Linked DNA regions of Xenopus tropicalis. The protein of the gene in region 1 purifies or fractionates together with the protein of each later gene. This does not show direct contact. Links are inferred from orthologs where the notes say so. Each region holds a gene or a part of one and is shown on either strand. Other genes may lie near its edges.

Region 1 (7,439 bases):
ACATCAAAGGTTGCATAGAGGGCAACATGTCACTAAGTAGCAATTATGCCAACAAATGCATCCTGGCAAATGAGATTGGGGGAATTCTCACCTTCCAGGGAATGTTAGCTTTCCAGCATCTCCAAGCTTCACTCAAGTGCTGCAAGATGGTTCTGGCTTTGTTCTGCTTGATTCCCTCTGGCATCATGTCCAATATGTCATGCATAACAGCAGCTCTGAGCTCCAAGTCAAAGTGAGACTCCACTCGCTGTTTTGTCACAGTTTTCGCAACTCCTTTGGAATGGCGACCTGATATGAAAAAGGTTAAAGAGACCGTAAGAGCTCCACAAATGAAAGCCTCCTGTGATAACTCGCTACAGATGTGCACTATTCCAGAAGCTCCAAGGGGAACCAATAAATTGAGTCTCCTTAATTAGAGGGTATCCTTAAAAAAATAAACATCCACTGCATTAAAAGCAATCAGGGTCATTCAAAAAAAGTCAGCAGCAAAATGTTGGACACATAAAAACCATTCTAGAAAGAGCAGAATAGCTCACCTTCAAATTGTCTAGCAAGCAGATTTCCAAGCCACCTTTCCAGCAAAGGTGTGATACCACGCATAAAAAAGAGCCAGACTCTCCAGCCTGCTGCCCAAAATCCACAGCCAGGCCCCTTTCCAACTGGACCCTGCAGAGACAGTCACATACAGTTAAAAACCATAAAAGAAAAGCGATTCTAAGTAAGACTATAAGAGCAAATACTCACTGTATTGAACCTGTAGTAGATCAGATGCTTCAGGTCCTTGCACATGCGAATTTGTCTCATTAGTTTGTACTTGTAACGGTACATTCCAGTCAGCTGCCCCACATGGGCAAAAATATACTGTAATCCGTCTGCCAACTGAAAAGTAAGAAAAATTTAGATTTTTCAGTACTGTTTCAGATCTTATTTGCTTTCAACTGGAGCAAATTAGTTAAGAATCCACATTGCAAGCCAACACTTACCTGGAAAGCATCAACATTCCCCAGTCTGTATTGCACATGGCTGTCCACAACTAGTTTGGTTAGACGCAGGACCTCGCGGCAAAGATGGAAGGCATTGCCGAACCGAGACTTTTTGCGTTCCTATAATACAAAGTTAAGCTCCTTTTTTAAAAGGAAAACTAACCCCTTTTCTCTGCCAACTATTCTTCTTCAAAAACTGTTAGTCATGTTTTTACCCTACTAAGATCATAGATTTTAATGAACCACCTTAAAAAAAAAAAAGTGTATTCATATTAAAATGCTTATAAGTGGCATATGTTACTGTTTTGCATCTACTTGTCAGAGTGGGTGTTACCCAAGCCTTCATAGGTGGATCATAAAGTTATGCTCACAAGAGCTCACCATGAACCCTAGCCAAATTAGTAAAGCAATGAGAAACTATGTAGTACAAGCAAACTATAAACCCTTTACTGGACAGCATAATTATCAGAAACTGCAAAAGTCATACACCTCATAACCCTTAGTTAATTCTTTATTTATTCCTTTTTTCTAAATTAATAAAGTGACTACTATGCTACTAGGCAGGGCAAGTAGAGAACCTGCTGCTAAAATCCTACACAGTTTCATTGCTTTGAATATCACAAGGAGCAAAATGCCAGTGCGGGATTTGCTTGTTTGTCATTAAGGTAAGAATAGGTCCAGGCCAGGGTCTAAACTCTTGAAAGGCACTGTATAAATGTAACAGCAAATAATCCACTAAAGGATAAGAATCAATTTCAAAATTCCCACAATTTAAGAATCATTGACATACCTTTGTGGTCAGCGTTTTTACTGGCTTCAAATTGAAATTGTAATCCAGATGAAGATAGTTAAGGTTCTTTCTGTGAATCAGCAAGTTCAGCATGTTATAGCCTTGGCGGCAAACCTGCAGGCCTACTTCCACCCAGTCCAACTTTGTCGACTGAAAGAATTTTGTGGCTTTAAATGAACGGAAGAGATACCTGCAAAAGGATTATAATCATTTAGCAGAAAGTAGACTACAAGACTTCAGATTACATGCATTGTAACTTAATTTGCTTACCTTTTCTTCTGAGCTTTTGGAGGCCTGTGTTTCAAAGCATTTAGCACATAGTACTTCAGCAATTTCTGGTAAGATACTCTGACTTTTACTGGCTGGCCAGCAGGACAATGCTCTCTGTACCTGAGAATGAAAGGAATATTCTTACTGGTCAGTTACTTAAACACTGAAAACATGCTGTCAACACAAATATCCCATTTTAATGATCCTATTCATTTCTGAACAAGCTTTAAATAATATTGTAACAATAATCTAAAGACTATCTGCAGGGGCAAAATGACTCTGGGACAGGCTGACAATGGAAAGTACTGTTTGGAGAGTAGTAGTCAGCACCAAACTTTGTGGTTAATTAGAGGCAGTGCAGGTTCCCCAATGGCCACTTTCCATCGGTATATCCAAATGTCGAAGAACAGGAACAGGACCTCTTGTCTTTTTAAATTAAAATGCCTTTATTGCAACATCTTCATATAAAAAGACAAGAGGTGCTGTTCCTGTTCTTCGACAATGGAAAGTACTGTGTCACAGTCAGTTTCGTTAAAGGCCCTGAGCAAGAGACCATAACAGCATTGTATAGCTTTTCTTTCAATTTACTAAATCAAAAAAAAAAAAGTTAGTAAAAGGTACAGCAATAAAGACAAATATGCAAGTTTTCGGAGTTTTCCTCCTCTTTAACAGCAGCTGGTTACCTGGCAGACAAACATTTTTAGCCACAATGGGCTCTTCAAAAAAAAAAAAAAATCCACTGAACTGCCAACAGCAGGAATATTAAGTGTAAAATTTTTAAAAATTAAATATCAAGCACCTTTTATATAAATTGTCCTGCACAAAACTTTTTCTGACGGAACTAGGTTAACATTGTAGGAAAAGTAATAAATATCAAGCTACTGCAATAAAACCTGAAGTCTGAATGAAAGTTTGCTCACCAGTTTTTCACAAGAGGAATATCAATAGCCCTCCTGGTCCTACCAGAACGCAAGTTGAAAGGACGAGGAGCCCAAAGTAAAGCAATTCCATTAGCGGTGTTATCTGAATACAGAGGAGTGTCTTTAAGGAATGGTTCAACATATTCTGGCAATTCAAATTCCTCATCATCATCTGGCAATGGCTCTTGGCTCTATAACGAAAGCAAGCAAAATGAAAACCAACAACCTTGAATAACTTCCAACCTACATAAAATGTATCCAATTATCTTTACTCTAGAATTTCTCACCTTTACAGAATGCCTGTGTGATATGGGATTAATCAGTGGGTCAAAATAGAATGCTGGTAAATCAGGATCCTCAGTTTTGATAAAAACCACATTTGGTGTGTGATACCTGTGAATGAAAACATAACAATTAGCATGGCACGAATAGCTTCTCTCCTCTTTTGCAAAAAGTAAATCATAAAAGTTAAAGGACATATTGGATGAATGGAAAAAACCCTAATATTGTAGGCAATTATGAATAATATACAGTGCTGGTATCACTTTGGGCTAAAAGTTAATCCTATCTGTAAAAATTGCCCCTTTATTGAAGCTCCCTATAGATCGTATCACTTCTCCGTCCAGTGTGAAATAAAGAGTGGGCGTGTCCTAAAATTCCCTGCCAGAAGCACAGTAGGAGGGGGGAGAGCCAATCAGAGCCCTGCACTCACACAAGCACAGACAGGCTTCAGTTCCCTATGAGGTCAGCCTAGCTGCTGATTGGTTCCTATCCTACAGTGCAGTGTGCTGAGGGCTGCCAGCTCCCCAGCTCATCCAGAGAATTCAGCCAGCAGGAAGTGGAACAGATGGACGAAACTAGTGGGGTTTTGGTGGAATTTCTCAATAAACCAGTCCGAGACAACTTTAAGCACAATCCTTCAATATTTAGAGGAGTATAATTCACTGGTACATTCTTAATTTTTATATGATATGTCTCCTTTAATACAGCTTCACAGAACAATCCTAAAGTGCTTATTTACTGCCCTACGCATAATTTACAAATTCAGAAAACTCAAGCTAACCCTTTCCAAGAGCAAATTACAAGTTAATACGGAGTTAGACAAATGAATTAAAACAGCTTTATAGAAGTAATGAAAAGCCCTAAAAAAGACATTTACACAGTTAGTTTAACAGGTAAGGCATAAAAAAAAGCAACAAACAAAAAAAAAAATTAAAACAATTTACCAGGTTAAATGTACATGGTGAGGAAGATTGTTGTACAGGTAAGGAAAAGCAATCTTGTATTCTGTTCGAATTGGCTGTCGGATAATTATCTTGTTAATATCATTAAACTCATTCCAATCTTCATCCCTGTATAAAAAGAGAAATCAATCAATTTTATCTGCTTGCACCAGGAAATGTACTAAAAACAAACATCACAGCAACATCACTTACTGCAGGTTAATGTCACGAACAAGAGGCTCAAATTTTGGCCCTCCAGGAATAGCCATGTTTAATGCTTTGGAGGTAAAGAATGCCTTTAGGTCAAACAGGTAGAAGTAGTTATCATCAACCAGGTCAGTCAGAAGCTGATTAGCCAATCGATATAATGTAGACATCATCGGAAGTGTAAACTGCCACCGCTGATAAGTAGTACCATTCACATACCTGAAAATGAAAGGCATTACAAATAAAACATGGCTTGGAAACTATTTGACAAAATTAGCCAATACAAGGAGAAATGAGCATTATGTCTACAGATACAAAAACCAATAGAGTAAGTAACTAGCATTACTTTCTGTTGTCTCTTAAGGGCTGGTGATCATAGAACCAGTCAGTGACTGGAGCATCTTCCTCTGGGTCCAGTTCAAGCTGAATGGCTTCCAGGGGTTCAACATCAAGGATATTGTCAGCATAATCCAGTGGAGGCTCCTCATCATCAAATGGAGGAAACCTCATCCTCTTGAAGTGCCGTCTGTCTCTTTTTTCTCGCCTCATCATAATCCACATTGACCTGGTAAATTATTGTGATAGAAAATACAAAGTCAATAGGAATATGGATTCATATATGAGATTGTTTTTAAAGAAAGGGTTTAGGGACATTAAACTTAAATGACTACTGACAATAAAACTGAGGCAGTGCTATTCTCAGGACCCAATATGCCAGGCTGTAATTGCATCAGTTGCACTATTTTCTAGGATACAAAACACCAAAATCCCAGCATGTTTCACTTAGCACTGCATTAGGAAGTTAGACTTTTGCACTGTATCTACATGAACTAAAATCACAAAACATTTCCAATTAACCAAATATGTTGTGAAACATCAATGTAAACCTATGGCAGTAACTCTCTTAATAAATGCACAGGATTTTTAATTAGATTGTGCTTTATCTTTTTAATGCATTTTGATCATAAGCTTATTATCAATTAATGTTGTTAGCCCTGCACAGGCTACTGGCACACAGAGCTGTTTAATTTACCATATTATTACAAGATGCACTTACCCCCACTGTGCTATGTAGACAGGCTCAATGACCCATGGAATCTCATTAACAAATGAGATGGCTCCTGTTATATGATACAGCACAGGGACATCACGGATCTGCTCCCAAGGCATGGGCATGTTTTCAAGTAACTTTAAGACAGCATGTGGCATATACTTCAATGCTCTACAAACAAAAACAAACCAGGATACACTTAACCATAAAACAGAACTTTGGAAATTTAAAATGTTAAATAAAATCACAGCATGAGGTTAACTATTACAATTTAAAAAAATGTGCAAAGGCAATTTATGTTTAGTTAATGTGGTACTGCAATACTCCAATCCTTACACTCCACTGAGTTTTGCTTGTTTTACCTGCTAAACAACTGCACCTTGCTTCTGCAGGCTTTTTTTTTTTTAATTTACACTGGACTACTGTCTGTCAGCTTAGGTTAGTGCCTTGCTGGTATGTTGCCGAAATTAATTCTCTCACCCAAGGTAAACTCTCTTATCATGTCGGAACTTTCTGTTGGTCATGTCTCCATGATCACGAATAATTTTGCGAACATGTTCTGGAGGCATATCTTCTTTCTGTGCATCCACAAACCCAAATTTTCTTTTCTCTGAATAGCGTTTTGCCTGTAGCTGCTGCCATTTTCGTGCTGGAATCAAAATAAGTGAAACATGGATGAGACAACTATACAGTTTAAAAAAAATATGACATGAATAAGCTATCCAATTTACTACCATACTGGTGTTAAACATGAAGCAAAAACGCAAACATAATCCTGCATAATTAAGAAAATTGGGCAAAAAAGAAAGGTGGTTTCTTTACTATGATCAGCAAGCAAAGATATTTCAAGCTTAATTTCTCAGTATGTACTTAACTTATCCTCAAAATTTAAAAAAGAAAAAACCTTCTTCCCTCTTTAATATATTTGTACTACTGTTACCCAACATTCAGCTAAACTGAACACTCACACAACTTTAAAATGATAAAGCATACTGCAACAATTTTTTGTTCACAGAAGATGCAATTCTTTTAGTCAGATTTAGTTTAGTATGTGACATTCAGCCGAGTTCATCAATAATTACATTTTGAGCAACGACACATGAAGCCCTCCAAGTATGCAAGGACTTTGAAAGAGCATTTGGTTTTTACAACAAATTGAAGAAGGTTGCACCTTTTTCCTGCAGCTTCTCTTCAGACATGTAGTCCGGTGTTCCACCTGGGGGGCCGGGCATTGGCGGTGCCTGTGGTCTATATGGAAACACCCCGGCCATGGTGTCTCAAACTGGAAAAAAATAGAAATAGCAGCACTTAATTTTATCTAATCAAATTGCTTTTAAGTTACGAATGATTAAATGTTTAACACAACCATAAAGAGAAAATGTTTCTCCCTTACTTTAGGCTAGTGTACAGCATTAAGCAGGCAGTGAACTTGTGTAGCTGGACTGCACAAATAACCAACTGAAGGCTGTGTAACATTTTCTATTCAGAATAAAGTGTTAATGCCATATCCGGGATTAATGTTTTTTTAACTGTGGGGGTTTCTTGGAGCTGTGGCAGGGAAGTTAGCATGAACACCACTAAGGGTAAATTGCAGCAGTTTGGGAGCCATAGTTACTTCATGTGTCTGTTCATTCGCTGCCAGTGTTTATGCCAGTGCCAGACATAGGCCCCATGTGTAGGGCACGCTACACAACGATTACTGGTTGATTGTTGTAGACCATTTATATTTACTACAAATAGAAGAATACCACCTAGCATCCCATAGCAAAGTATCATTCCTTTGTTGGCTTTTGGGGAAAAACAGTAACTTTAGGCTTAGAATTCTTCATACAGCTTTCTGCTCATAACAGATACCACAACTGCACAACCAGTGAACCGTTTTTCTTACATAAGCTTGAAAAGTGTTAATGTGGAAGAGGTTCAGATTTTTACACATTCAGTGAGTTTCCTCTGCCTCAGCCAAGTTTTATCTTTCAGTCACAAAAACCAACCCAT
Region 2 (7,439 bases), on another chromosome or scaffold:
TACTTCTCCTTCTGTTTAGGTCCTCTCCTATTGATATACCCATCTCTCATTCAAACCACTCCCTGGTTGCTAAGGTAATTTGACCCCTAGCAACCAGACAACTGCTGAAATTCTAAACTGGAGAGTTTCTGAACAAAAACTGAAATAATTTAGAAAAAAAAAATTAAAACCAATTGCAAATTGCCTTAGAATATTATTCTCTACGTCATACTAAAAGTTAACTCAAAGGTGAACAACCCCTATAACAGCAGCTATTATAAATGTTTTTGCTATTTTATGTTTTTCTCAGCCATGACTTCATAGTGATGTAATCTGTTATAATTTGTGCTTAGTAATGCACTTTATCACAAAAAAAAAATTCCAAAATATAAGCCTTGGTCTCTCATGCGCTGTATAAAACTAGTCAGCCAGTCAGGCTTTTGATATGCTTGTAATTAAGCAGCAATTGTAACTTTATTAATGAGCACTTTTTATATGTATCTTTATTTTTTTTTATATGAATATATTTCACTGGATATTTATGGCTCTTGTGTATTGTGTTGTTTATAAATGACTTCATAATATGAGAAACCGCTCACAGTGCCAAAGCACTCTGGTGCCCCTCCCCTCCTTTCACACTGCCTCCCTGCTATGTTAATTATTACACTGAAAAGTGTCCCTATATGTAAACCTGCCATAAACATGCAGAGTTCACAGATGCCTTCTACTCCCAATACTGATCCTGTTGTACGAGGAGCAAGCGCAGTTAGAGCTAGCTCCAGGATCAGCTTTAATTGCTCATACATGGAAGAGGAAGAAGATGGCGCCTGTGAACTCTGCTGCTTATTTTTAGCAGGTTCACTGTACACTTTTCAGTTGTAATAAAGGAAGAGTGCTTGGAGGGTGGAGATATGAAGGCTTAGTTCTCCATTAAATTGGCTTGTGCTACATCTCACATTACATTCTGCAATAGGAAAGTTGCTTCATGAAATAGCTAGGGTCTAAAGCCGAACACTTTGTATATACACTCAGCTGTATATTCTGTTTCAAAGATAAGTTTAGCACACGCACTAATGGATATTTTGTCTAGGAATGAGATTGAGCAAATGGTGAGCAGCATCCTTTTACAACAGTTACAGTAGTTTGCTGAAACAGAGTTACAGACATTGTCATAATCAAACTGCTTTTAGGACAGACCCATTTTTATCAGAAATCAGAAATCAATTCAAGATTAGGGATGCACCAAATCCAGTTTTTCGGGTTCCGCCGAATCCACCGTGAGGGATTCGGCCGAATACCGAACCGAATCCTAATGGTGGTGAAAAGTTTTTCACTTCCGTGTTAACATGACAAAAAGTCATGTGATATTTTGGATTCGGTTCACCCAGGACCATGGATTCAGCCAAATCCGAATCCTTCCAAAAAAAAGCCAAATACCAAATCAAATCCTGAATTCGTTGCATCCCTATTCAAGATCTGATATTTATCAGACCCTTTAATAATTGGTTCTGAAGTCTAGCAACTGTAGCTGTCTGTGAAGCCACAACATTTAAGAAATAATAAATGATAATTTCCTAAAGTTTTTTTTATTTTTGTAATACATTTAAAATGGAACTTTGCCTATGAGCTAAAGGCGTCTAGTAATCTAATGTTACCTGGGTGGAAATGTAGTTCTGTATGCTAAAGACACTCCAGAGAGACAAAAGAAAGTGTTTGGAGTTTCCTAAAGAACAATATTGCCTGTGCGTTTGGATTGTTTGACTCAGAATATTGTGTCCATTACCTATCTATCCTTCAACATTAGATGCCTTATGTTTTATTCGTTAAATGTAACGCCTATAAGATTCTGATTTGCTTTGTACAGTTGCAGGAAAGCAAATGCCCTTTCAGGCACTCACTCATCACAGGCCTTGGTTCAGCCTTTGTGGAGGTACACGAATCGAGATCAGCCCAAAAATCACAGAAGCATGCATTTTCAGGCTGATCACCACTCTGTGTAGCTCCACACAGGCCGAGGCCTAAGCCTGTCAATTGAGCGAAAGCAGTGAGCTTTATGAGCATATGTTAGGGAGCATGAACACTGATCTGCAGGCAAAGGAAAGTGGACAATCCGCTATGTGGGATCTTGCCTCAATTCTTACTGAATTCGTAGATCCCTAGATTAAAAACAAAAGTGAGCTTTTGAGACTTTGTAGTACATTTAATCAAATGGGTATACCCCAAACACTAAAGGCACACTTGTGATGAAAGGCAGCATGCATGTTTAGAATCCAATAGTTTAACTGGTTTATGCAGTAAAATATAAGGAAATAAGGGCAGGGGATATTGTACGCATTTAATTTGATTTTTTACATGTGTGAGAGCAGTCACTTTGTTTTATCTTGAGGCCATATTCATCTGTTTAATGTTTAAATCCTGCTGGTTGAAATGTTAGGTTTGTTCTCAAATCACCTTCTGGGGATTTTTACAGTGCTGGGCCTTTCCATACAAGCATGGACTACACCCAGAGGAGCTTTCACCTGGATAAGTGAATGCTGACCTAGATATTGACGTGTGTGTGTGTGTGTGTGTGTGTGCTCCTTCGTAGGGTATGTAATTACTAATTTGCATATGTTAGGGAGCTGCCATGGTCACTTATTCTATCTTGGGCATTTACCTTGAAACCATGTGTTTTGTCTGTGTGGCATCACACTTTCTTCTAAATTAATATGTAGATTGCATTTTTACATTGTTAGGGAAACTATATTGGTGGTAATCAGTTATGACAGTTTCCCCTTTTAGTGCAAAATGTTATTATTATTATAATGTCCGAATAAAATTGCCTTTAACATATCTTGGATAGACAACACATTTGTGCTTTCTACCTAAACTGTAATTTGTTAGGTAAGGAATTGCAAGTTTTGCAGTTATGATTTGTTTATATAGTCTTTGACTGGTGTTTCTCTGTTACGTTTCTGTGTGAGCAAATGTATAATTGGGTTTTAGCTGTTTATTATTTTGTTTAATTGGGCGGACATATGACTTGTTAAAGGGTTCTTATGACAGACTGATTTTATATTCAAAGATATGTGATAAAAGTGGCTTGATTTGTGATTTTATGCAATTTGGGGACTTACCAGAAAGGTGTTCTGAAGCTCTTGATTTTGTATAGATACTTTAACTGGTTTCTGTTGTCCTGTCTTATTACAGATGAATATGATGCTTATATCATTGTATCGTTCGTGAATGCCACTTTGGTACTCTCCATTGGTGAAACCGTAGAAGAAGTGACAGATTCTGGTTTTCTTGGGACTACTCCAACTCTCTCCTGCTCCCTGCTTGGTGAAGATGCCTTGGTACAGGTACATTATGCCATTGAAATGCCTGAATATGTATAAATATTCAGAATGACTGTGCATAAATACGAATTTAAGTCATATGCTTACCACGTTCGAATCTAAGGGAGCAGAGTAGTTCTGAAGGTGATTGCTAGTCAAATATGAGAAACTATTTAATTTATTTTCTAGGTGTACCCTGATGGCATCAGACACATACGTGCAGACAAGAGAGTAAACGAGTGGAAAACACCAGGCAAAAAGATCATTGTGAAATGTGCTGTAAATCAGCGTCAGGTAGTGATTGCTCTGACTGGAGGAGAGCTGGTGTACTTTGAGATGGATCCTGTAAGTGGAGGTTTAACGGGGAACCATTTGGGACCCTGTCTCATAAACATTTCTAAGAATTTATGCTAATTTGTGTTTTTATGACCTGCTGTGTTTTTTTTTTTTTTGTTCCTTCTCATTCAGTCTGGGCAGTTAAATGAGTACACTGAAAGAAAAGAAATGTCAGCTGATGTGGTATGCATGAGCCTGGCTAACGTACCCCCTGGAGAACAGCGTTCCCGATTCTTAGCTGTAGGGCTTGTCGATAACACTGTTCGTATTATCAGTCTCGACCCTTCGGTAGGTGCCATTGAGAATTATCGTCTTGTGTAGTAAGCAGGCTGCATCAGATATAGTCTTAAAGACAATGTTATGTTTTGTGTGCTGCCTGGTTATGTCTAACAAAATCCATTTTAATTTTTCTTCAGGATTGTCTGCAGCCACTTAGTATGCAGGCATTGCCCGCACAGCCAGAGGCCCTGTGTATTGTAGAGATGGGTGGTGCAGAAAGACAGGATGAGCTGGGAGAACGTGGTTCTATTGGGTTCCTTTATCTTAATATAGGACTTCAGGTAGGTTAATTGTTTTATAATTATTTTAGTATATACTACTACTTCCAGTGATTAGGACCACTGTGGAGTTGCTCTTGAATGGCAAGTAAATGTCTTAAAGCATAACTGACACCAGAAATGATGCTTTTTTTAATTAAATATTGTTTTATCTTTGTATCCTCTCTTTAATTTCAGCCTATATGGCTATCACTTTTATATTTTTCTGATCTCGTATGTTTCTCTCTGAGGGGGCTGCCATATTTGGGCAGCAGTAATCTGTTTGGAAACAGATTTTAGTTGGAAAATCTAGCCAGTTGGAATCTGGAGTTGCATATCACATACAAACGCTGTCTAATTAAACTTTTGAATGCTGAATGCTATAGTACAGATGTGGATAGTGAAGCATCCAGGAATGAGGCATTTGTGTTCACTTGAGCATATTTGCTCTAATAGCCTTTGAACTCCTAAACATCCAGGGTGGAGTTTTATGTGAGGTGATTATAAGCTGTCCCGTGTCTGCCTTGTAAGGAAGAAAGCTGCATATGTGTATATGCTTTTTATCTGTAAGGTAGAGAGCATTTCTTTAAAGTAATGAATTGCTGGAGGACTAGTTTGCATAGTTCTTTTTTTTATATGAGCAGTGTGAGATGCAGAGACTGCCAAGAAGTAAAGGAAAAAAAGATCCGCCCAGCTTCCTTTGATATCCGTGAAGAGAATAACTAACTGACAGGTTGAGAAGTACCATTTGGGTTTTCAAAACAGTCATGTTTTGGATGTTAAGGTGTCGATTACTAAATAAAGCAGACATCTAGGCAGAAAACAATCAATATAACCTATAGCTAACTGTTGATATACAACATTATTTTGAGGACTACATTTTTGTGTCAGTATCGCTGTTTATAGCTCCGTTCTTGTATTACAGAGAAGCCCTAAAGAGGTCCTACATTTTTCTTTTTGTTTTCTCTTTTATAGAATGGTGTATTGCTTAGAACAGTCTTAGACCCAGTTACTGGTGATCTTTCTGATACCCGAACTCGATATCTTGGGTCTCGACCTGTCAAGCTCTTCAGAGTTAGAATGCAGGGACAGGAGGCGGTAAGTTTCTTTTCCCTATTTCTCCATTTTTAAACATTTTTGTTTTCTGTATACGATGTTTGTTCAGTATCAAACCTTATCATGCCTGCTTACAGGTCCTGGCCATGTCAAGTCGTTCCTGGTTGAGCTATTCTTATCAGTCACGCTTCCACCTCACCCCACTTTCTTATGAGACCCTGGAGTATGCTTCTGGGTTTGCATCTGAACAGTGTCCTGAAGGAATTGTTGCTATTTCTACAAACACACTGAGGTAGGTGGGAGTAAACCAGGTTTTATTTTGTGCTTCTTCTAGGATTTTCACCTTTGCCTGGTATTAAACCTGGACAAAGGGGCATGCATGATTACGTCAACACTAGGGGGCACATTTACTAATCCTCAAATCCAAATCCCGAATGGGAAAAAATTGGATTGGAAACGAAAATTTAGCGTTTTTTTTTTTTTTCGTCGCTGTCGCAGGGTTTTTGTATTTTGCGCAACTTTTTTTTCTCGCGGTCACGACTTTATTGTATTTTGCGCAACTTTTTTCCGTCGCAATTTTTTCGTAAACGGCGAAAAACCAATCTGAATTTGTCGCAACGGCAACGAAAAAGTTGCAGAAAATATACGAAAAAGTCGTGCAAAATACGAAAAAATCATGACGGTGACGAAAAAGTCGCAAAACTACCGACCATTACGAAAAAAACTCATTCGGGCGCTTTCGGACGTTCGTGGATTAGTAAATGTGCCCCTAGGTGTCACTGACATCATCATGGGGGGGTTATTGTCTGCCGAACACAATTTTGAGGGTTTCTGCACCGTTTTTAGAAACTGTTTGAAATCGGGCAGAAGGTATAATAAAGGATAATAACCACAACTTGTTGAATAATCCTTTGTTTTTTGAAGAAAAATATTAATACTGCTTTTCTTGTTTATTAATAAACAATCACTGTTGGAAATAATTGGCCAATGATATAAATCAGTGCTGTCCAACTGGCGGCCCGCGGACCCCCCTCTGTGTGGCCCCCCACCTGTCTGGCTGCTTTGATGGCTTACTCTTGTGTAAGCTTTAAATGGTATCAGTACTGTGATTAACTGCCCCCCCCCTGCATGGTTCTCACCTCAGATTCAGGCTGTATTGTTTAAATATGTAATCCCCTGTACTGTTAACACCTTTTAATGTATGCATTGTTCACCCCCTGCAGTGTTCACACCTCAGGCAAACCCACAAATAATCCCTGCATACTACAAAAAGAACATATACTGAGGTGGTACTGCAATTAAAAAGTTTTTTAATATATAGTTATTGTGCAGACTGTAGGAGCAGTGCCAGCATTGTGTCACTGTAGGCTGCCTGTGTGTGCCATACACACAGGCAGCATAGGGCAAGCAGAGTATGGCACACACAGGCAGAGTAGGGCAGGCAGAGTATGGCACACACAGGCCAAGTTTGGCACAAACCAGCCAAGAATGGCACACACAGTGAAAGTATGGCACACGCAGGCAGGGTAGGGAAGGCAGAGTATGGCACACACAGGCAGGGTAGGGAAGGCAGAGTATGGCACACACAGGCAGGGTAGGGCAGGCAGAGTATGGCACACACAGGCCAAGTATGGCACAAACCAGCCAAGAATGGCACACACAGTGAAAGTATGGCACGCAGGCAGGGTAGGGCAGGCAGAGTATGGCACACACAGGCAGGGTAGGGAAGGCAGAGTATGGCACACACAGGCAGGGTAGGGCAGGCAGAGTATAGCACACACAAAGGCAGGGTAGGGCAGGCAGAGTATGGCACACAGGCAGGGTAGGGAAGGCAGAGTATGGCAGGTTTTTGCTGTACTACAACCATTAATATGGGTATGATCATGTGATAACATGGGGGTGGTTTCAAGTGGGTGCAGTTTCAAAAAGGGGAGTGGTCAAAACTGGCTTCCATTATTGGCCCTCCACCACGTAGGCGGAAAAATTCCGGCCCTCGGTACAACAGAAGTTGGACAGCACTGATATAAATAATCTTGGAAAGAACTTTCGTTAAGGCTGGTGGACTTTATCGTGGAGGATGTTCCACAGGTGGTGTCTTTTTAACTGGAAAATACAGATTTTTTTATTAGGGCAGGGCAAGTTACATTTGGACAGATGCCTGAAATTGGGTCCCAATGAGGGCTTTAGCTACAAGTTTTGGAGGAAAATTTTGATC
Region 3 (7,539 bases), on another chromosome or scaffold:
GCCCAGGTTTTACACACATTATAATTAAGACACACTGGTAAATTGCTTAGAATTGCATTCTCCGCTTCCCAGAAAAATTTAGATGGAAACCCCTTTTATGATCCTTATAATTAAACCTACCCTCAAGTCTACTATGGCCTCCCTGTGGTGATTACTATACTCTATTACAGTGATCCCCAACCAGTGGCTCAGGGGTAACTTGTTGCCCCCCAACCCCTTGGATGTTGCTCTCAGCGCCCCCAAACCAGGGAGTTATTTTTGAATCCCTGACTTGGGGGCAAGTTTTGGTTGAATAAAAACAAGATTTCCTACCAAATAAAGCCCCTGTAAGCTGATAGGGTGCATAGAGGCCCCTAATAGCCAATCACAGCCCTTATTTGGCTCCTTTTTGGTGCTTGTGTTGCTCCCCAAGTCTTTTTACATTTGACTGTGGCTCACAGGTAAGAAAGGTTGGGGACCCCTGCTCTATTAGAACGTTATACCACAACCTCGCAAAATATTCTGAACGCGTACAAACGCAGTAACCTAGCAACCAATCCCTTCAGAAACGACATCCCGCCCCAAAGCCCTGATAACCCCGCCATGTAAAATTGGTTCTTCAGAAAAGGCAGCAGAGAACTCAATCACTCTATTTAACTACAATTCCCAGAATTCCTTTACTCACACACCTGCGCCAAGTCGTTGCGTGAGGTGTATAGCGCTCCCTTATTGGATAACTATTCTCTCAGTGGGAGGAGCCGCTGGCTGCTCAGGGCTCGGAACGCTTGAGGAGGGAAGTTGTTTCCACGCCGGAGTCTTTAGACAGTCGCACCAGCTGTTCTCTGGCGGTTGGAGTGATAGTGCAGCATGGCAACCATGGCGGTAAGGTACTTGGGATTTTTTAGGGTTAATGTGTTTAAATAGCTGAGACGCTGTTGAGGCGCTCGGCCTTCCTTGGTAATATTCTACCTTAAAGGCGCCATGTTATCCCCCTGTTATCCTATATGGTATGTTTAGTCTAAGGCATGGCTTCTGGTGTGTGCCTAGTAGCGGCCCCTGAGCTGCTCTGGTACTGCTTCCTCATTGGGCTAACACAGCACATCCTTTTCTTATTGAGTGGGGCTTATTTACTGAGCTCGTTTGCACCTGGGCAGTAACCAATAGCAACTGGGCAGCTTTGTTTAGCCACTCGCAGGAAGAATAGTTAAATGACAACTAAACCTAAAATTGCTAGAATGTGGCAGCCACACCTTCTCTAATCTCTGGCCTCCTTTCCCAGGCTGGTGCTCCATTCTATTTAATGTAAAGCACCTTGTTGCTGCCTCCCTGCTTTCTTCTAGGTACCACTGAGGCTGTAGGTTAGTGACTGGTATCATGGCTGTCATGGTCGGACTGGGCTGTGAGACACTGGGGAAAAAAACCCGGGGGGCCCCGCCGACCCAGACCCGATACCTGTAAGTGCTGCTGCAACCCTGCTGCCTTTCCTCTATGTTTGTGGCTAAGTAAATGTAGGTGAGTGTAGTGGGGGCCCCGGGCACCCAGCCCAACACTGCTAACAATATGGCACCCCACCACAAATGTATGTGTATTTTTCCTCTTTACAGCAAACATTTGTATTTCATTGGTTGCCATAGGTTACTTCATCAGGACAGTTTTGCTCTATGTTAGTCAACATATAGTGCCCAGGGAGAGGCAGCAGGAACCTGACCAGGCCAAATGGGGTATAGGGGGCACTGCATATAAAAGAGTAACCCAGATCTACACACTAGCTCCAGAGAAACAGCCTATAACAGATATGAGATACTTTTCCTGTGGCTATGCATAGGTTCAGGTTTGTAGTTACATGGCGTAAGATTTCATTCCTTTATCATTATTGGAAAGTGAAAAAGAGCTCTTGTTTCTATGCAGTATATTCAGGCCTCTTAGTGCAGCCAGCCTCACCAGAACTGAAACATTTACTCCATAGCATTCTGCTCAGTTGACTGCAAAAAGCTGAACTATGGTTGCCATGGGGTTCTGCATCACCGTAGGGCATGCATCTGTTTGTAAATTCCCCCCTCTGTGAAATGTGTTGGTGTGTATGGCCACTTTTATATGGAGCAGTAGTGTTGGTTCATGGTAAGCAAATTAATTACTCTATAGTTGAATGCAATGTAGACCAAAGATGCTTTCCTCCAGCCTTTCCATCATCCTTGGATATAGCCATGCAGTAGCTAGGGGGGTTGCTTGTGGTGTAGTGGCAGAGGTATGCTGAATATTCTGGGCCTCTGGGGATGAATTATTTAACACGGTGTTAGTCTCAGTAGCTTTGTTTTGCTTGTTCCTGGATAGACAGTCTGCCAGTTTAGCCCATCTTTTTTTGTATGACCAAAAAAAAAAAAAAAACAGCTTCCTGGTTACGAATTGTCCAGAATAAGGCAGATTTTTAGTGCAAATGTTAGTAAATCCTTTCAATTAGATAAACTGCTCACCTGCTTGAGCTGTTATTTCACATCATACTCCCTGTCAGATGGCTTGTGTTGCCTGGTGTGACAGGGGTGTATGTAGTTGCTCTTGAGTACTATAAGAGTAAAATGACTCCAGTTCCATGAATTACCCGTGTGTTTTGGGTATCCTATAGCAGGACAGTTTGCCTTGGTTCTTACCATCCCGTATCCTATTGTTGGAGAATTTGCTTTGCAAACAACCTTGATTTGTTACTAGGAAACCGTTTGTTAACGGGGAAGATCCTTAGGGCAGACTGTTAGGATGGTAATGACAGGCATAGGCCGAGGCAGTTTGCAGTTGTTCTTATATAAAGGTAGGGCTAAATGGGCATGAGGTGGACAAAAAACAATGTTCAGCTCACAACATGCAGGGGTGGGGCAAATACATTTGGAATTCTCAAGAGGTAATCTCACATTCTGTAGAAAACATTGGTGAATCTTTATAAGCCAATGTCTCCTGCATTTATTTTGCTGCTGAGTTGTAATTAGTATTTCATGCATTGATGTCTAAAGGAAACCGTGATCAATATTCATGGTTATTTATGTCTCATAGACAACCAAGGTGCCAGAGGTGCGAGATGTCACCCGGATTGAGAGGATTGGTGAGTGTAAAAATACTACAAAAATAAACACAAAAATAACCTGCTAAACATGATGTGGTTCCCATGTAGCCCTCCTATTCAAATAACTGAATATTTTAGAACTCATGTATTCACCTCCATTGCATCGTGACACTTTTTGTTTCCATGGGCAGCAGTGCAGTTTAATCAACAAACAGTCTCCTTGGTGATAAATAGCTACAGAGGGTTGTAACTTTGCTGCAATCCCAGGCATTAGCATCACAAAGTTCCATCACTATTTTCATTTACTTTCAAGCCAAATGTGTTTAATTTTATTTATCTAATTGCAACAACAATTTTAAACGCGCATTATACACCCCTTTTCAAAAATTTTGAGTGCTGAGCATAATTTTTTGCCTGTTTAAAGTAAGAAATATGTTGCTAATAAGGAATGCCCACAGTGCCTTTTTTCCTACACTTTGGTCAAGCTGTTGGCTCTGTGCCAGATTATTTTGATAACATATATATATACTATATATGATAAAATAAAACATATATATTGCTTAACAAATATCCAAATAATAAAATATTTCAAGGAAACAATTTGTACATGTAATTGCAAATGAAAGCAGTGTCTGTTTATGTTTTTCTCTAACTCGCTTAAGACAATATATATTCACCTCCATATCCATTAAATCAAACAGCGGCTTCCAAGCCAAAATTAGTTAAAGAGCCCCACACAACACAGAAACCCCTAATATACCTATCCCTGTAATCTGTTCCATTAAAAAGTATGAATAAATACCATTTTATATGCTGAAATCCAGCTGTAAAACATTTATTTTTCTGCATTTGGCATCCTAGCATTAGCACGTGTAACAGTGCATATTAATTGTATGAGGTAGTCTGGGTATGTATAGATTAATACAAAAGATATCCAACACATTAAAATTAGTCTGTGTTTTGTGTTTCCTACCTATTAACTGCTTATTTTTGTGTATATAGTCTAACATTTGTCTCTCTTTGCCAGGCGCACATTCTCACATCAGAGGGCTTGGCCTTGACGATGCGTTGGAACCCCGTCAGGTACTGAAAGCGCTCTAATACTATAATATGAATGGTTATGAATTTTTGCTTATAATGACACTGGTTAGCGTTAGACAAGCAAGTGGCAGATTGGATACGTGTCGATCTGTCCTTCCTTCTAAAAGTAAATTTAACATCATATGTGCAGGGAATTGTGGGATTTGGAGTATGCTGGCTGAAGGCAGGCTTGTCAGCCAGATCAGCAGGAGAACAGGGGGCAGGGCTAAGGGAACTGTTCTAAACCATATTACATACAGTGGTGTGAAAAACTATTTGCCCCCTTCCTGATTTCTTATTCTTTTGCATGTTTGTCACGCTTAAATGTTTCTGCTCATCAAAAACCGTTAACTATTAGTCAAAGATAACACAAGTAAACACAAAATGCAGTTTTTAAATGAGGGTTTTTATTATTTAGGGAGAAAAAAAATCCAAACCTACATGGCCCTGTGTGAAAAAGTAATTGCCCCCTGAACCTAATAACTGGTTGGGCCACCCTTAGCAGCAATAACTGCAATCAAGCGTTTGCGATAACTTGCAACGAGTCTTTTACAGCGCTCTGGAGGAATTTTGGCCCACTCATCTTTGCAGAATTGTTGTAATTCAGCTTTATTTGAGGGTTTTCTAGCATGAACCGCCTTTTTAAGGTCATGCCACAACATCTCAATAGGATTCAGGTCAGGACTTTGACTAGGCCACTCCAAAGTCTTCATTTTGTTTTTCTTCAGCCATTCAGAGGTGGATTTGCTGGTGTGTTTTGGGTCATTGTCCTGCTGCAGCACCCAAGATCGCTTCAGCTTGAGTTGAAGAACAGATGGCCGGACATTCTCCTTCAGGATTTTTTGGTAGACAGTAGAATTCATGGTTCCATCTATCACAGCAAGCCTTCCAGGTCCTGAAGCAGCAAAACAACCCCAGACCATCACACTACCACCACCATATTTTACTGTTGGTATGATGTTCTTTTTCTGAAATGCTGTGTTACTTTTACGCCAGATGTAACGGGACACGCACCTTCCAAAAAGTTCAACTTTTGTCTCGTCGGTCCACAAGGTATTTTCCCAAAAGTCTTGGCAATCATTGAGATGTTTTTTAGCAAAATTGAGACGAGCCATAATGTTCTTTTTGCTTAAAAGTGGTTTGCGCCTTGGAAATCTGCCATGCAGGCCGTTTTTGCCCAGTCTCTTTCTTATGGTGGAGTCGTGAACACTGACCTTAATTGAGGCAAGTGAGGCCTGCAGTTCTTTAGATGTTGTCCTGGGGTCTTTTGTGGCCTCTCGGATGAGTTGTCTCTGCGCTCTTGGGGTAATTTTGGTCGGCCGGCCACTCCTGGGAAGGTTCACCACTGTTCCATGTTTTTGCCATTTGTGGATAATGGCTCTCACTGTGGTTCGCTGGAGTCCCAAAGCTTTAGAAATGGCTTTATAACCTTTACCAGACTGATAGATCTCAATTACTTTTGTTCTCATTTGTTCCTGAATTTCTTTGGATCTTGGCATGATGTCTAGCTTTTGAGGTGCTTTTAGTCTACTTCTCTGTGTCAGGTAGCTCCTATTTAAGTGATTTCTTGATCTAAACAGGTGTGGCAGTAATCAGGCCTGGGGGTGACTACAGAAATTGAACATTGAATTGATAAACCACAGTTAAGTTATTTTTTAACAAGGGGGGCAATCACTTTTTCACACAGGGCCATGTAGATTTGGAGTTTTTTTTCTCCCTTAATAACGTAAACCTTCATTTAAAAACTGCATTTTGTGTTCAATTATGTTATCTTTGACTAATAGTTAACGGTTTTTGATGAGCAGAAACATTTAAGCGTGACAAACATGCAAAAGAATAAGAAATCAGGAAGGGGGCAAATAGTTTTTCACACCACTGTATATCTATGTAATATGGTTTGGAATGTATATTGCAAAGTTGCTTGGCATTATGTTTTCTTTTCAAAAAGCTTAAGTTGTGTTTGGATGAAGTCCACTTAAATTGTCTTTTGCAGTGTGCAGCTGACAGCCCTCTACATCCACTAAATTCACAAACACGCAGGTGCTTGATAACATCATTCAGCTTGTTACCTCCATGCTTCTTTCCTGAAGCAGATTTTATCTTTATTATTGACACTACATATGGTCACCAACTGTTCAGTGCATTCAAATATTTGGGGGATCTGGCTTAAGAATGCCTCTTAGTAATATGTTCATTTATCGAAGTTCCTTATAAACAATGTGAATAGAAGTGCAGGTACATTATTTAGGAATAGAAAACCTCTTGCTTGGTGCTTATATATTTAATCCCAGTTTAAGAAAGACAAGCTTAGAGACTTTAATAGGCTGTGTACACAATGGAGCACAGAAAGCTATTCTTATGTATTTGTGTAGGTATCGCAGGGCATGGTGGGACAGCTGGCAGCCAGGCGGGCAGCAGGTGTTATTCTGGAGATGATCAAGGAAGGTAAAATTGCTGGGCGAGCAGTGCTCATCGCTGGACAGCCGGGCACAGGGAAAACAGCCATTGCTATGGGTAAATATTTTTGTTTCTATTATTGTAAGGTATGCTACTTTAAGTATTAATATTATGAAATGCCAGGAATGGGGGGGCATTGCCCGTCTTCTTTTTAGTATACATTTAAAGTTAAAATGATTCATATGATGTAAATTACATATGATGCCAGTAAGCAACTGAAGATGTATTGATTTAACAATCTGTTAATGAGTTTTATGTATTATATCCGTATGTTTGTTTGTTTGATGTAAGATCGTTACAAATACATGGATATATTTTAGTGACATTTCTACATTCACACAAGGAGCCGTGACACTGACCAGTTACCTAAATTCAGTCAATAATATTATCAAACATGCCACAGACCAAGGAGCAGAGGGTAGGCAGACTTCAAACCAGTGCAGAGATTAGACCCCATTCCCCATATAGAAGACACGGGTCAATTAACCCCTGCATTTCCATGTGGTGAAACGCATAAATCCACCACACATTATTGCAGGTGCAAATGCCATGCGTCATAGCCTTTAAAAGAATAACCTCATCCTTTCTGTGTAATTGTGGTTACAATAACCCATTGTAGTGTTTCCAGGCTTTTTAATCTTTAATGTTATTACTTTATATTAATTCTGATCATTTGTGTTTAATACAGGTATGGCTCAAGCTTTGGGCTCAGACACACCTTTTACAGCCATTGCTGGCAGTGAGATTTTTTCACTGGAAATGAGCAAAACAGAAGCTCTAACGCAAGCTTTCCGGCGGTCCATCGGTGTGAGGATTAAGTAAGTTTTCAGTCTGCTGATGGTGAAGACTCGGCTTCATTCCCAAAATACTCTGTCAGTCTGTTTGTGAATGGAGTCCATTCAATGATAGACTTCAACGCTCAGGCTAGGTTTTTAAATCTCATCATTCTTTTCTAGGGAAGAAACAGAAATCAT

What was found.
Region 2: the proteins of prpf8 (region 1) and sf3b3 fractionate together in Homo sapiens (co-fractionation; 4 studies listed by BioGRID, with this or other methods). This does not show direct contact. The link is inferred for Xenopus tropicalis from reciprocal best matches to the Homo sapiens genes PRPF8 and SF3B3.
Region 3: the proteins of prpf8 (region 1) and ruvbl2 purify together in Homo sapiens (affinity purification with mass spectrometry; 3 studies listed by BioGRID and IntAct, with this or other methods). This does not show direct contact. The link is inferred for Xenopus tropicalis from reciprocal best matches to the Homo sapiens genes PRPF8 and RUVBL2.

The regions. Positions count from the first base shown.
Region 1 is NC_030678.2:45,521,580-45,529,018, reverse strand, and holds part of prpf8 (pre-mRNA-processing-splicing factor 8), read right to left. Parts: intron 6,727-7,439; 5' UTR 6,716-6,726; coding exon 6,616-6,715; intron 6,094-6,615; coding exon 5,925-6,093; intron 5,616-5,924; coding exon 5,451-5,615; intron 4,959-5,450; coding exon 4,740-4,958; intron 4,613-4,739; coding exon 4,400-4,612; intron 4,316-4,399; coding exon 4,190-4,315; intron 3,357-4,189; coding exon 3,251-3,356; intron 3,155-3,250; coding exon 2,964-3,154; intron 2,164-2,963; coding exon 2,044-2,163; intron 1,964-2,043; coding exon 1,774-1,963; intron 1,104-1,773; coding exon 984-1,103; intron 880-983; coding exon 745-879; intron 667-744; coding exon 537-666; intron 289-536; coding exon 92-288; intron 1-91. UniProt on the Homo sapiens protein: Plays a role in pre-mRNA splicing as core component of precatalytic, catalytic and postcatalytic spliceosomal complexes, both of the predominant U2-type spliceosome and the minor U12-type spliceosome.
Region 2 is NC_030680.2:75,050,177-75,057,615, forward strand, and holds part of sf3b3 (splicing factor 3B subunit 3), read left to right. Parts: intron 1-3,168; coding exon 3,169-3,320; intron 3,321-3,485; coding exon 3,486-3,641; intron 3,642-3,764; coding exon 3,765-3,920; intron 3,921-4,048; coding exon 4,049-4,192; intron 4,193-5,143; coding exon 5,144-5,266; intron 5,267-5,361; coding exon 5,362-5,516; intron 5,517-7,439. UniProt on the Homo sapiens protein: Component of the 17S U2 SnRNP complex of the spliceosome, a large ribonucleoprotein complex that removes introns from transcribed pre-mRNAs.
Region 3 is NC_030683.2:113,415,163-113,422,701, reverse strand, and holds the start of ruvbl2 (ruvB-like 2), read left to right. Parts: upstream 1-2,822; 5' UTR 2,823-3,018; coding exon of another isoform or gene 3,019-3,067; intron 3,068-4,055; coding exon of another isoform or gene 4,056-4,111; intron 4,112-6,480; coding exon of another isoform or gene 6,481-6,492; coding exon 6,493-6,622; intron 6,623-7,253; coding exon 7,254-7,383; intron 7,384-7,521; coding exon 7,522-7,539. UniProt on the Homo sapiens protein: Possesses single-stranded DNA-stimulated ATPase and ATP-dependent DNA helicase (5' to 3') activity; hexamerization is thought to be critical for ATP hydrolysis and adjacent subunits in the ring-like structure contribute to the ATPase activity.